Linked DNA regions of Nothobranchius furzeri. The protein of the gene in region 1 interacts with the protein of each later gene in a biochemical or structural test. Links are inferred from orthologs where the notes say so. Each region holds a gene or a part of one and is shown on either strand. Other genes may lie near its edges.

What was found. The genes of interacting proteins can lie anywhere in the genome.
Region 2: the proteins of snta1 (region 1) and slc6a3 interact in a test that uses a peptide from one of them, tested with the Homo sapiens proteins (2 studies listed by BioGRID and IntAct). The link is inferred for Nothobranchius furzeri from reciprocal best matches to the Homo sapiens genes SNTA1 and SLC6A3.

What each region holds. Positions count from the first base shown.
Region 1 is NC_091743.1:60,424,090-60,427,997, forward strand, and holds part of snta1 (alpha-1-syntrophin), read left to right. Parts: coding exon 1-140; intron 141-434; coding exon 435-624; intron 625-2,969; coding exon 2,970-3,100; intron 3,101-3,443; coding exon 3,444-3,640; intron 3,641-3,908. UniProt on the Homo sapiens protein: Adapter protein that binds to and probably organizes the subcellular localization of a variety of membrane proteins. May link various receptors to the actin cytoskeleton and the extracellular matrix via the dystrophin glycoprotein complex.
Region 2 is NC_091745.1:43,574,374-43,578,281, reverse strand, and holds part of slc6a3 (sodium-dependent dopamine transporter), read left to right. Parts: intron 1-1,576; coding exon 1,577-1,708; intron 1,709-3,908. UniProt on the Homo sapiens protein: Mediates sodium- and chloride-dependent transport of dopamine. Also mediates sodium- and chloride-dependent transport of norepinephrine (also known as noradrenaline). Regulator of light-dependent retinal hyaloid vessel regression, downstream of OPN5 signaling.

The DNA of each region.
Region 1 (3,908 bases):
TCCCTCCCCTGGGATTCTCCCCCTTCAACACCTCAGAGGGGAGCTGAACTCTCCCCTGCTGAGGTGAAAGATCCTCGCAGCATCCCGCTGAAAATGTGCCAGGTGTCCCGGAAACAGTGCCCCCCAGACACAGAGAACAGGTACTGCAGCGTGTCCATGTGCACCTTTGGATGTCATGTTAGGTTTAGCTAATGTGTGGCCTTTTTAGAAAATAAAATACGATGCCAAAATAAAAGTAGCAAAGTGGTTTGATGGGTTATTGTAAAAGTGATCCCCCCCCCCCCCCCCCCCCATATACCTTACTAATGCATTCTCTTTGTTAATAAAGCAAACGTCCTCTTCGCCCTGCAGCTTTGTTCCTTTCCACTTGTCTTTTGATTCTCTAACAGCCTCGTTTTTAATCTCTTTCCTTCTTCTTTCATCTCACTTGTCAGGTATTTTGAGGTTGTCTCATCCAGCAGAAAGAACTCCATGTTCCTGCGGGCAAAAGACCCAGCCATGGCCCAGTCCTGGTACAATGCCATTCAAGCTGCTGCCGCCAACCTTTTCCCGCAAGTGAAAGAGGAGCTGAAGAGCATGCAGCCTGGCATGGAGGTCAAACATCTGGGCTGGCTTGCAGAGCAGGTGTGAAAGAATACTGATATACAGGAGAAAACAGCCAAAAGTGCTTTTCACTTTGAACGTCTGAATGCTACATGCTTTTCGTAGCTTTTCTGCCAGGTTTCCAACTTCTTAGGCAGTAAATTTAGTTTCTGTTGCTAAATTTAAACTCATTTCCACTGGCTTTGTTCCAGATGGGGACAATCTGGTGGTGTTTACTGTCCAGTTAATCATATATGACAGGGGCCCTCAAACTGAATATCCAAGGGTCCAAGTATGATTTCTGGATAAGGTCAATGGCCTGGAACAACTATGGATAAGAAAATCAATCCCTTTGCTTAATCTGTACAACTAAAAGAGTTGGTACAGTTGGTTTGCCTTTGTTTAGTTGTGAGTCTAATCTTTTTTTTGTCAGTAAAGCAGCTAAAAATAATAGAGGTACTGAATATAGAGTTTAATGAGATACTATAACACCACAATGTTTGATGTAAAGGTCACAGATGCTCTGGGACATTTAAACCACTCTTGTGAAACGTCTCTGAACAAATTAAACACACGGGACTAGTGGTGAACCCGTGGACCTTTGAAACCTTTTTTTAAGATAACATTTAGAAAAAATCATTAGGATATGATGACATGGACAGAGGGCACTGGTCCCAGTGTTGCTTCTTCAGAACTGCACCTATTGGCACTTACACACTAGCATCGGATCAACTCCGCCTGGACGGGGTGTGGAGTGTTCTCATTTGGGTAGCCTTGGATTTTCCCGGGTGCAACCGGACGTCTTTTCAGCCCTCTTTCAAAGGCGGTCTGCCTGGAGCCAAACTGGTCCAACACACTGACTGATGACTGATTGGGTGACTCAAAATCACGCCTACCATTAGGGGGAGCCTCCGATTGGTCAATAGAGTCAGCCTGAGGGGCTTCCCGCATGCGCAATTCATTATCATTCTGGATGCTGTGGAGTTAACGAGCCTGACTGAAGACATTTTTCTCTGTCTCTCACTGCTGTGGACACACACACATACACACACACACACACACACACACACACACACACACACACACACACACACACACACACACACACAGTTCTGCCAAGCAAAGCAAAGCAGGATGCAATATCAGAGTCTCTCCAAAAGCAAGACTGCAGGCCGCCTTTGTTTAATAATGGAGACACGGCGGACCTCTTTTGCCCTGCCCACGTGCTCGGAGATGCGCTCATGACATTAATGAAATCTGTTTTTCATATCAATTTTGGAGACCACCCATGTGCTCTATCACGCCCGCATTCCTAAGGCATTGAGAAATAAATGCGACCAGGCTGGGGCGGGCTGTCGGGCTGTGCGGAGTGGAGCCGATGCTAGTGTGTAAGTGGCATGAATGCCTTTTAGCCTTTAGCTGACATGGAAATGTTTCATGAAACTGGATAATTTTTTTGATTTTCTTAAAGGTGATGTTCATTGAGACACGTATACCACTGTTCTGTTTAAAATGAAATCAGTCACTCTGAGTTTCACGTGCATGCTGAACGAGAAACTAATCTTCAACCCCTATTTCCTGCATTAGCTGCTCAAAGAAAAAAATACAGGGAAATACTCGGATCACAAAAAAGCTACACAGATCTACATCATTCTGTAAAATTAGCATTTATGGACTCATTCGTCCTGAATCGTGAGGGGGAAGGCTGCTGATTTAGCTGCAGGAGAAAGCAGAGCACATCTCGGCTAGCTAATCGTTAGCATTAGCAGCTCCTCAACATGGCAGAACTCTTTCAGGCTTGTGTTATTTGTGGACATAAAACATCAACATCTTTGGAAGAGTCCGTGGAATGGTTGCATTGCTTTTAGCCAATCAGAGGTGAGATGTTTTATAATCATGAATATTAATGCATAAGACCCCCAAGTCCCGCGCTCACTAAATTCCACTTCCTGAAACAGGAGTGCCAGAGCTGCTCTTTCCACAGAAAACAACTCACAATTCATTCAAATTAGAGACCACTGCAAGTTTATTGAAATAACAAGTGTAGGCCCACTCCATAAAATTACATGAAAGAAGTAAATATCTGTTATAGGGCTCCCATCACCGATAGCTGCATAGCGATGATGAGTTCACTGGCTGCCTGGCAACAGCAAATGTCTGGTTTTTAGTTCCACTCGATCCATCGTTGAACAAGTCGATCTTGATACTTATCGTCCGACACCGATCAACTGTTTTATCTTATCTTTGGTGAAAAAAGAGAACAGTTACCCTGTCACATTGTTATTCATTGTTAATTCTTCTTTTTATGTCTGTGTGTGTGTGTGTGTGTGTGTGTGTGTGTGTGTGTGTGTGTGTGTGTGTGTGTGTGTGTGTGTGTGTGTGTGCAGGTGTCTCATGGTCCAGAGAGACCTGTTCTGGCTGTGTTGACAGAGAAGGACCTGCTCCTGTATCCAGCCTTTCCTGAAAGCAAAGAGATTATGATCAATCCCACCAAGAGACACCCACTCATCACCACCAGGTCCACACACACACATACCAGTCTCACCTACACACACACGCCCATGTTTTTATAGCAGATCTGTTTCCGCCTATAAGCATTTAAATTTTTTCCACTGGTTGGTTTTGGCCATAGGGTTCGTGCTCACACTTTCCATAACTGTAATCCTGAACATTTTGTCCAACAGCATCATCATCATTTGGAAAACGTTAATGTTAGCAGAACCTATGAGTCATGTATATTTTCCCTTCTATCTCTCAGTTTCACATTTTCCACCTCTAAACAGTTTTCTTCATCTCTAATCCCTAATTATTGTCTCTCTCTCAACCACAGTCTGGTGATATTTTCTTCTTTCTTCCTAAAGGTTGGTCCACTCCGGCCCAGGAAAAAGTTCTCCTCTTTTGGACTCTGAGCTGTCGTTCGGTCTGCGTTCGGGCACCAAGCAGGGCGTGGAGACGCACGTGTTCAGAGTGGGTTCTGCTAAGGAGCTGTCCACCTGGACTCATCTGCTGGTGGAGGGTTGCCACAACGCTGCTGAGCTCATCAAGGAGGTCACTGCAGGTGAACAGATCCGGTCAGAAATAGGTCTCTCTGCATTCATGCTCGGATTGCTCCCCCTAACTAATATAGGTCCAACGCAGGGGTCTACAACCTGCGGCTCTGGAACCACGAGTGGCTCTCTGGACCTTCCACTACGCCTCTTAATAACTTTGACAAAAAAATGATAAAAAAAGGAAATAAAAATCGTCGTCGTCTTCCTCCGCCTATCCGGGTCCGGGTCGCGGGGGCAGCATCCCAACTAGGGAGCCCCAGACCGTCCTCTCCCCTA
Region 2 (3,908 bases), on another chromosome or scaffold:
CCCCTGAACTCTACACTACACCTCTATATTTATTAGCAGTGCTTTGCTGCCACCTAGTGTTCATTTCAGTACACAATATTTACAGTGTTCCATGCCTATTTTCACTTCATCAATAACACATGTACTAATATTTACTCATCCCAACAAATCCCACAATAGTTACCTTTATAATCAATCGATTGATCGATCGATTGATCGATCAATCAATCAATCAATCAATCAATCAATCAATCAATCAATTGTTTGTTATTTGTTGAGCATTTTACTCACAAAATTGACCAAAGTGCTGTACAGTTAACAACATGACAAATAAAACATAGTAACTATGATAAAACAAATAAAAGACAGGACAGGAGTAAACATGACTACATAAAAGAAGTAAAATATTAATATTAATACCTAACCAACATGATGTGTTTGTGCTCAGCTGAGATTAAAAGCCAAATTACAAAGGTGAGTTTTTAAAGAGACTTAAACTCATTCAGAGACTCAGCCATCCTTATTGGCAGAGTAAGACTGTTACATAGTCTGGGACCCACAGCGGAAAAGGCCCTGTCCCTTCAGGTCACAAGACAAGTCTTAGGGACCCCTAAAATGAGCTGGAGCTCAGACCTCAAACGTCTCGTAGGAACATACTTGCTCAAAATCTCTGTTAGGTAAGGAGGTGCCTGGCCATTTAAACAATTAAAAACTAACAATTAAATCTCAAAGTTAATCCTAAAACGAACAGGCAACCAGTGCAGGGAGAACAGAACAGGGGTGATGTGCTCAAGGCGCTTAGTGCCCATAAGTAGACAGGCATTTTTCACCATTTTTCAGGTGCCGCAGCAGAGAGTTGTCAAACCCAGCATAAAGGGAGCTGCAGTCCAGTCTAGAGGTAATCAGAGCATGGATCACCCTTTCTAGGCCACCATTTGATATAATGAAACCAACATATTCAAATACACCTTGTAGTTATAGAAATATACTCATTAAAGTGTGGCAATGTATTCTGTGCCTCTGTTGCTTTGAATGATTATAATGCAATTAATCAAGATTAATTAATTACAAAGCCTCAAATTAATTAGATTAATTATTTTAATTGAGTCCCACCCTTCATATATATATATATATATATATATATATATATATATATATATATATATATATATATATATATATATATATATATATATATATATATATATATATATATAAACATTTATATACACACACAAACACCACACACATTTATGCTTTCAAGATGATTAGCTTCTCTGTCACATGACTAAACAAATTACAAATGATCACCCCCTAACCCTCTGAGAAAGATACACAAACGGCAACAAGATGGGAATAATCATCACTATCAGTCCAGTTTTAATTATTGGACCAATACGGTATGTTAAAAAATGACTAACATCTGTAGACAACGATATTGATGTATTTAAACTGTGCATCCTTGATATTTAGACATAACACAAGTGGATTTTATTTCATTTGCTACCATAGAGGTAGTTGAGTGTTTGTTTTTAACACACTGTTGTTGTAATGTATTTACTGCGTTTTTTGCAGTTACTTTGTTGCATTTGTGCAGGTGCATTCCTGGTGCCGTACCTGTTCTTCATGGTGATAGCTGGAATGCCTCTTTTCTACATGGAGCTGGCTCTGGGACAATACAACAGGGAGGGGGCTGCAGGTGTCTGGAAGATATGCCCAATATTTAAAGGTAAGAATTTTTTATTGTCACTAGGGGTTGAATAAGGAAAATTTGACTATACAAATAGAACTTCTGCAGATTTTTTTTTTCTTTTATTATGTTGTTTTTCTTCTGAAAAAATAAAACTTTTGGAACTTAAATTGGAATAGTTGTAACGACACTTGGACACAAAAGGACGTTCACTCTCACCTGAAAAACCTAAATAGAAGTTTGCAGTGATTTAGCATTGGATGTGGCATTTTTTTTCCTGATTGGTAGCTAGCTAATTATGCACATGCATGGCTTATACGTGATTATTTTAAACATGTCAGCCTTTTCCTACTGTAGTGCTTTTTCCAGTGTCACCAATGGGAAAGGCGTTGACATAGATGATGATTTTAACCCACCAAAGAATGAGACCCTTCTTCCATCATTTCATTCTCATTCTACTTTATCATTATTGCCACAAAGTTACAACCAGCAAAACCAAAACTACATAAATCACAAACAGAGCTGCCTGGCTCTGAATTATCAGTCAACAACAACAAAAAGACGTGTTCTGTTTTAAGAATTACACATGAAAACACAAACCCTCACACACGTTTTTATTCTTTCCATGAAAATGTCCTGGTTTGTGGTTGCTTTTGTTTTTGGTCCATTTGCCTTCATTGCAGCCTGACTGACAGTAACTCATTCCCGTCTTCATGTCTACGTCTCTCTGTCTGTGTGGCTGCCCACATGCCTGCCTGTCCACATGCCAGTCTCTTTTGTCCGCCCGTCTCTACGTTGAGCAGCGACAGGCATTATTATCCCTCCCAGAACATCAGGTTCTGTTGGCACTTAGATGGAAAGCAAAAGTAAATTGGGCTTTTAAAACTCTCGCCCTGGTTGTCTAGTCAGGTGACGATGACTGGCGGACACGGTTTTTGAACACATCGATAAGCGGAGTGCGGTCCAAGAGTATACACACTAATGGAGACACAAACAGTAAGACTCATTTTTGTTTCCTAACTCAGCCGCAGGTTGAAAAAAATAATGATACTCTTTGCTCGAATCAGCATTTTATGCTTTTGTACACTTTGAAAGCTTTTATTTTTACAGGCGAAACTCAAACAATTAGAACATTAGTTCATTTATGCCAGTAATTCAACTTAAAACACACGAAATAGACTCATCAACCTTTATTTTATTTGTAATGATTATTGTTTACAGTTTATGAAAACCTCACATTTAAAATCTCAGACAATTAGAATATTGTGAAAAGGTTCATTATCATTAAGTGTCACACTCTAATCAGCTTTCAATTCAATTCAAGTTTATTTATATAGCACCAAATCACGACAAGAGTCGCCTCAAGGCACTTCACATAATAAACATTCCAATACAGGTCAGTTCATTAAGCCAATCAGAAAAAAAGTTTCCTATAAAAGGAACCCAGCAAATTGCATTTATTGCAATCCTCATACTAAGCAAGCATTTAGCGACAGTGGAGAGGAAAACTCCCTTTTAACAGGAAGAAACCTCCAGAGAATCCTGGCTCAGTATAAGCAGCCATCCACCATGACTCACTGGGGATGGAGAAGACAGAGCAGACACACGCATACACCAATATCAGCCCACCCACACACAAACACACATCCACACACACAACATATATACCAAGCAATGTTTCTATGGTTACATTGTGATTTCTTAGTAAATTTTCTATTTGGTGAAAGATAAACTTTATTGTATTTATCCTAGTGAATCTATAGTTAAACGGGTAAACTTGTAGTAGCACATTCCATGTCAAAGAAAGTAAAGTGTTATTATCAGGAGACGGAGAATATTTAAATGGTTAGCAACAGTGTTCAAGATGATGGCCCCCTCCATGAGGCCGCCACAGCTCAGCAGAACGTCATTGTAGCTTCTTCTGGGGAGAAAAACACTTAGAGAGAAAATAAAGTTAACAGCTGAAATTGCAGGAAATAATACAGTTGAAGAGCAGATTGTAGAAGAAAGTAGTCGAGTGTTTAAAGTGGTCAGTATGTCCTCCAGCAGTCTAAGCCCATAGCAGCATAACTACATAGATAACTCTGGATAACCTAGCCTTTTAGATGGAGGCATGTTGGAGAGCCGTCTTTACCGACTGTACACTCCACCTCCCTCTACTCCCCACTTGTCCAGATCTAGGCTAACACCAGATTTTAACCATATGCCCTATCAAATAAAAATGTTTTAAAACTAGTCT